2 linked regions of the Macaca mulatta genome follow. The protein of the gene in region 2 purifies or fractionates together with the protein of the main gene of each other region. This does not show direct contact. Links are inferred from orthologs where the notes say so. Each region holds a gene or a part of one and is shown on either strand. Other genes may lie near its edges.

The links. The genes of interacting proteins can lie anywhere in the genome.
Region 1: the proteins of USP1 (region 2) and PHLPP1 purify together in Homo sapiens (affinity purification with mass spectrometry; 6 studies listed by BioGRID and IntAct, counting the BioPlex papers as one, with this or other methods). This does not show direct contact. The link is inferred for Macaca mulatta from reciprocal best matches to the Homo sapiens genes USP1 and PHLPP1.

The regions. Positions count from the first base shown.
Region 1 is NC_133423.1:17,992,821-17,996,470, reverse strand, and holds part of PHLPP1 (PH domain leucine-rich repeat-containing protein phosphatase 1), read left to right. Parts: intron 1-1,854; coding exon 1,855-2,001; intron 2,002-2,622; coding exon 2,623-2,853; intron 2,854-3,650. UniProt on the Homo sapiens protein: Protein phosphatase involved in regulation of Akt and PKC signaling.
Region 2 is NC_133406.1:178,202,294-178,205,984, forward strand, and holds the start of USP1 (ubiquitin carboxyl-terminal hydrolase 1), read right to left. Parts: upstream 2,860-3,691; 5' UTR 2,587-2,859; intron 2,100-2,586; exon of another isoform or gene 1,503-2,099; intron 1-1,502. UniProt on the Homo sapiens protein: Negative regulator of DNA damage repair which specifically deubiquitinates monoubiquitinated FANCD2. Also involved in PCNA-mediated translesion synthesis (TLS) by deubiquitinating monoubiquitinated PCNA.

The DNA.
Region 1 (3,650 bases), on a different chromosome or scaffold from region 2:
CAGCCTCCTTCATAGCTGGAAGTACAGGTGCCTGCCAACATGGCTGGCTAATTTTTTTTGTATTTTTAGTAGAGACGAAGTTTCACCATGTTGGCCAGGCTGGTCTTGAACTCCTGACCTCAAGTGATCTGCCCACCTTGGCCTCCCAAAGTGCTGGGATTACAGGCATGAGCCACTGCACCCGGCTGAGGATAAGCATTCTTTTAAGAAGGACTGATGGCTCTAATATAAAACAGTTTAAGAACGATTATTCAGATTTAGCAATAATTTTTTCCTAAGTGATTTTTTTTTTAAATACTATTCTCTTATACTCAGCCATCCAAGTAAACAGGTATTATTTAAAAATCAAGGTAACACTCAACCTGTCAAATAGGTACATTGTCAACTTTCCCTTTAGAATCAACTTTTATTTAACTATTTAGAATACAGCTTAACATATGCTGATTGGGTTGAATTGCGTTTATTTTTGCAGTGTGTGTGTCTCTTCTAGGCAGAGTGCATACTGTCTAGTATTAGATGTGGGTAATCTAGTTTTTAAAGGAATTAGCATAACGCAGTCACTGATCTGATTCTTATCTCATTTAGAGATGGTGTAGAGGTCGTTGATAGGCCAAATGTAAGAGTGCACAGAGAAGTAAAAAATGAAAGATAGCTTCTTTAATTGCTTAAGTTGCTTGGGCAACTGTGAAAATGAAAGGGCTATTAACAAAAATAGAACAAAAAGAAGTGCCAGTTTGGAATAAAGATGGTAAGTTCAGTTTTGGGCTGGAAATGTGGGGTAGCTCAGGAGAGGAGCCAGCATGTGACAGGACTGAGAGAATTGTTCACATAGGAGTCAAAACATTTCCAAGGAAAACAGTGTAGAGAGAGCATGAAACTGATAAAAAAAAAAAAAACTATCTATGAAGATTACTTCAGTTTGAGTTGGGGAAGAAAAGATGAAGAAAAGGAAGTTAATACAGGAGAAGAAGGCTTAAGAGAGCTAAGAAGAAGGGTGGGTGGTCAGCCGCATCAGTCAATTACTGTACTGAGATCGACGAATGATAATTGGTTCTTTTTTGAGATAGAGTCTCACTGTGTCACCAGGCTATATATTCCAGGAGAGCAGTCTCAGCTCACTGCAACCTCCACCTCCCAGAGATTCTCTTGTGTCTCAGCCTCTCGAGTAGCTGAGATTACAGGCATGCACCACCATGCCCAGCTAATTTTTTGTGTTTTTGGTAGAGACAGGGTTTCACCATGTTGTCTAGGCTGGTCCCGAACTCCTGGTTTCAAGTGATCCACTCATCTCGGCCTCCCAAAGTGCTAGGATTACAGGCCTGAGCCACCATGCCCAGCTGATAATTGGTTGTTAAATTTGGAACTGCAAAGTCCTGGTTACCTTAGAGAGAGTATTGTTTTGATAAGTTTTTATTATTTCACTTTTGGGTTTGAGAAACATGAAACAGAAGTTTTTGACTTGTCTGGAACAGCACAGATTCCAGAAGGACTAACTCCAGCTCTGACTGGTCCCTTTCCTCCTTCACTGGGGCCATTTACACTGTGTTAATTAAGCTAATTGAGATACTGCTAAAAAACTTACTCCAGCAGAATTCACTTCCTGAAATATTCAACCTTATTTTAGAGGGAAAAGTTTGTTTTTAGATAGAATGTTTACATTTTAGGTAGAGCACTGGCCTTAGAGTCAGCAGATGTGCATTCCAGCGCTGCTGCTCCTTAACCTCTCTGGGGCCCCCATTTCCTCTTCAGTTGAATTTGGGAGTTGGGCTAGATTATCTCTTAGGCTATGCTAAAATTATGATGTTAGTGACATTTGTCTCTTTTTTCCCTTTTGGTTTTGCTTTATTTTAATAGGTTCACCAAGTTGAAGAGTCTTAATCTTTCCAATAATCATTTAGGGGACTTCCCACTAGCAGTCTGCAGTATTCCAACCCTGGCAGAGCTGAATGTGTCCTGCAATGCCCTGCGATCGGTCCCAGCAGCCGTTGGAGTGATGCACAAGTGTGTACCTCAAACCCCACTGGCGGGTATATCCAGAGACCCCAGGGAAGCTGCATTGGGGGTGTAGCACATGAGATTAGTTAACTTGTTATGTTGGTCATGTAAGTCTTGGCCCCAAATCAACAGATCAGGGACTGTATAGTCTGTATGGAGTTCATGTGTTAGATTTGTATTCTTTACGATCTTGTAAAAAATTAAATATTCTTGTTTAGAACTGAAGATCCCTGCAAATGAGTATGTCTAAACATGGAATGTGGGTTATGTTCTCATTTTTCTGAGTTATATTGAATTCAAAGACTTAGAAATTAATTTTGAGAAATAATAAGGAAAGCCCAAAGGATATCTGAATCAATTTATATCACAGTTAGCTCATGTTGCTCCCATTTAAGCCTATTCAGATTGGGAAAGCTAGTCATAATTTTCATTTTCAATAAAAGATTAAGATGCTTATCTCTGATTATTTCTCTTTGGTCCGTTATTGCCTCAGGCCCTGCCCTTAGGCATTTTGCAAAGAGTAATACATTTTCTGGTAATACGATCTACACTATGGAACTTGTATGTTGATAATAAAGATGTAAAATTTATACATTCTCTTTGTAATTCTTATGTTTTCTCTAATAGCTTACAGACATTTTTGTTGGATGGAAACTTTCTCCAAACCCTTCCTGCTGAGTTGGAGAACATGAAGCAGCTTAGTTATCTGGGTCTTTCTTTCAATGAATTTACTGACATTCCAGAAGTATTGGAGAAATTGACTGCTGTGGATAAACTTTGTATGTCCGGAAACTGTATGGAGACCCTTAGGCTACAGGCTTTAAGAAAAATGCCTCACATTAAACATGTGGATCTAAGGTAACCATTTTTGAGAAATAGATCTCATTTGAGCTGTTGGCTTATATTGCAGGGGTGGGGAGTAGGTTATTGACCAAGTCAAACAGGCTGGATAATTGAATGTGGACCCATTTTTCTATTTCTGCCTAGAGGGAAGAATTATGATTAATAGTAGGGTTTGCTGTTACTGGAGACTTTCTCACTGATGTATGTCTTGAAGGTCTTTGTTTTGCAAATTGGAACCCAGTTGAGTGAGAGAGCTATTTTTTGGTTTTGTTTTGTATTTTTTGTTGTTGTTGCTGTTTTTAAAGAAATAGGGCCTTGCTCTCTTGCCCCGCCTGGAGTGCAGTGATGTGCTCAGAGCTCTCTTTAGCCTCAAACTCCTGGGCTCAGGTGATCTTCCTGCCTCAGCCTCCCAAATACTCAGGCGTGTTCAGTTTCATCAGTGTAAAGTAGCATCACCTTTTGCTCCCTTTCTTCTCCATTCGTATGGCTCAGCCAAGGAAACCCATACCTTCCAGTCCCACAAAGAATTGCTTGGCTTCACCTTTCCTCAGAATAAAGGAATCAGACCTGTCCTTCCTAGGGAAGTATTAGCAATTTGCAGATATAAAATTCTTAATTTGGAAGTTAAAGTAATTATAATTTATCTGATTTTTGAGAATTTCTTGGAATGTAACAAGATAAGGAACTCTAAACACTTTGTTAACTTGCTTTCCAAATTGTTTACATTATTCGCCTCTGAGTTCCTTCTATTTAGAAAACCCTCATATTCCAGAATTTAAGCCCTATTTTATTCATCCACCAGTGGTAGAACT
Region 2 (3,691 bases):
AAGGATGAATGGAAAATCAAAGTAGTGCTGGACGATAATGAGTCCTCTCTTCCAATGCCTTTTCTAGTTATTAACATGAATACATGAAAATAAAGTACCTAAAAAGTTTATTAAAGTATAATTTGCATTCAAGGCATAGAGATGGTGTTAAGATATACCTAAAACCGTAAAGTTTTATTATCTTTCAATAATAAAACACATGCAAAGTTGAGACAGTGATACAAAACACTGTTGGATGCACTTTGTGTAAATCCAATTCTTAATGAGCCAGAAATCACAATACTCGTTTTCCAAACTTTTTTTAAAACTTTGGATTCCAAAAATAGTGCTTTGAGTAGGAAAAAAGATGATTTGGTTTGCCATTTGCAACTTTCCCACCCTGTTTTAAAGCAAAACTTTCACAGGAAAAAATATGGCAACATTTGTAGGAGTTACTAATATTTTCTACATCAGTCCTATTTTTCAGGACATGTGAGGAAAAATTATCTAACTAGAGTATTACCATAATAAAATTACTTAAAGCCCAAAACTTCAGCAACGAGTTTCAAATTTAAAATGCAGAGTAATAAAATGAACTACACAAAACTCACTCAAATTCCATCCTTAATAAGCATTTCACGTGGCTGACACTGATCTAGGAATTCACACTAAACTCAGCACTGAAACCATTTTTAAGACCCAAGTCAGGAAGAACTGGAAAAGCTGATCAATCTCCCCATTCTGTCTCCAACTTCACTTACTCTCCTATCCACCTAATGCTTCACCTAATGCTTCTGAGGAAGCGCTGTCTTCTAAATGACAAACTAACCTACGCTAAGTTCTCAGGGATCGCCAAGCATTAATGATTCTGATAAAATGTTTTTCTCGAGAGCCAATTCTAATGGATGACAGAAACTGGATCTCAAACCGACAGAGTAACCAGACTTCACAGGAGGGAAGAATGATTAGGCAGGTGAAATAGCGGATCGTCAGCTTAATCAACAAACCAAACCTCCTAGCCCCTCAAAGCAATGTTCACACCGAGAATGTAACATTTTGCCAGGTGCAGTATCTTCCGTGCTATTATTTCTTGCTCCTGGCTTTCCTTATAACTGGGGGGGGGGGGCTGTTACACGCAAAATATTTCTCCTGTAACTAAGTCAACTTTCGCAGAAAGCACGACGAAACGACCATTATCTGTTGACAGCGTGAATACTCAGTCCCAACAGTTTTAAATTCTTTTTGATATGACACGACTCGATTCCGATTTTTCAAGAAAAATATACAAGGACATCTTCGCCAAGGTTTAAGACGCGGCGTTCTAAACACTTCTGGAAAAAGTGTAAGTGAAAGAAAATGCGCGGTAAAATTTCGCAATTACTGACCGATCCAGGGCAACCTGCGTGGAAACGTTTATTTCTCCCCAACCTTCACCTCTCTCGGGAACGGAAAGGAAGCTGGAAGAACCAGCAGCGACTAGGCTGCCGGGCCGGGGGAGGCTGGCGGCGGCGTTCTCGGCCCACACCCCCGCGCCGGGCGCCCTCGCCGCGGAGTTGGCCTATTTACGCCCAGCCCGCACCTGCCTTCTCGCGTCCCGGCGGCGGCAAGACAGGCGCCCCGCCCGAGGCACACAAGGCTCCCGCTGGCAGCTCGACCAGGGTGCGAGGCCAACACGGTCCCGGGGGTCTCCCCGGCAGCTCCTCTCCCGCGCCGGCCGAACTTGCCCCCGCGCCGGGGCGCCGGCCCCTCCTCCCAGGCCCTCCTTACCTGGTCATGGCCCAAAGCGAGGTCCGCGGCAGTGACGCCGGCAAGTCCAACCCGAATGAGTGTGGGTGCGACAGGTGAGTCCCTGTTCCGAGTCCGCCGGGTCCCCCCGGCCCCAGGAAAATCTGGTCGGATCACCCTCCCCGCGGGGGAGTGACCATCCGCTCCCAAGAGCGGGAACCCCGACCGCCGCTCGGTCCCGCCTTGCACCGGCACCAACTACATCCCCGGAGCGGCGCCTATCCGCGCCCGCCCCGGGATAGCCAGGAGCGCAACAAGCAGCAGCCCCGCTCGCCGAGCGCCTGAACCGCTAGGGTCTTTCGCACTCCGCCACCGAGGGGAACTTGGCGCGTTTTCCTCAGTCTCAGGACCCCCGTGTTTTAGCCTCCGCCCGCGCCAGCGCTGCGATTGAACGTGGCGTCCTTTGAAATTGCCGGTTCCAGTCTCCACGCTGCAGAGACGCGAAAGGCAGGAGCCGTCTCGCGACGGTCACTCGCCCCCGGCACGCACGGGCTCCAGAGCCAGCTGGGACTGTAGCTCCCCAAGAGCCTAACGGGTTCCACAGTTTCAAACAGCGCAGGCAGAGAGCCGGGCAGCTCGTGCGGGTCCTCGCTAAGGGCGCGCGCGAGGTGCTAGCGGCCTGGCTGGCGGGCTCGAGCCTCACACCCTTTTTTTAACCATTCGTGCGCGCGAGTTGAGGGAAACGCGTACGGGTCGGGAGACGGGACAGAGAGCAGACGGGACGGGCCACCGCCTAGAGAAGGAGCCCAAATTCACCAATCCATGATGAACAATCCCCAAAACCGCGCCTCCCACCGCCCGGGGGAAACCAATCAGAAGTACCTAGACCAAAGCCAATTAGAAGGGCGGGAGCAGCAAGTCCCTCTAATAGCAAAAAAGAAGAAAGGTGGGCTCCAGCCAATCATTGTTCGACATACGGAGTGTTCCTCAGGCACGGCGCCCCTCCTTCCGCTCTCATTGGCGCTCGAGTGCGCGCTTTCGCTGCCGACTGTTGAAATCTTGTTTGGCGTTTTGTTAATCCTCGACGGTGGGACGCCGCGGAGGGTGCGGCTTCCGGAGCGAGGCCCTCGCGGCAAGCCCCGCCTCCCTTCGTGCGTACGCGCCCGGGCGGGGTGACCGAGAGAGCCGCTCCGGAAAATGGCTGCCTGGCTGCATGCCGGGGCTTCGCCCGGGCTTTCGGTTTGGAGTCGCGGCCACACTAGGCCTAGGGCCATCCAATGAGACAAGGCGCTGCCACGGATAACGATACATTCTCAGGCGAATGCTGTAGAGCTGAGGCCCACTCCTCAGCCCCTACTCGCCTCATTTTCTCCTGTTTACCCCTCCCCTTCTCGGCCGCAGGAGGAAACGAAAGAACAGTTTCAGGCCCAGCTCCGGCCGCGGGAGCTTCCCAGGGTTCCCGCGCGAGCCCTCCCAAAGAGTTCAGGAGCGGCAGGCAGGCCTCATCTGGTTGTGCTTCCTTTTGTGTTTGTGTGCTTGCTTTGATGAGGTGACCTCAGGTCAAGTGCTGCAATTAAGCAGGATACGTTCAGCCCAGATCCATTTAAATCAAGTATTTTTAAGGTGCCTACTATGTGCCAGGCATTTTTCAAGGCGCGAGGGATGAAAGGCATTCCCTGTCATAAAGGAGCATTACATTCTGGAGACGGAGACATAAGTGACACTAAAATAAGTGATGGGTACAATAGCCTGGAAAGATCTCTTTGAGTTGACATTTGAGCAGAGCTGAATGAAAGCTGAGCGAGCCTTGGAGGAATCTGGGGGAAGAATGGTGCGGGCAGAGAGAACAGCAAGTTACAGACGTCCTGAAGCTTAATGCGCTTGGTGTTTTGAAAAGAAGCAAGGAGGCCAGGGCGCTTAGAGCACAGTGAATTTGGGAAAGAAGATGGGAGGAGATGAGATGAGTGAGACAGGCAGGACCCTGGGT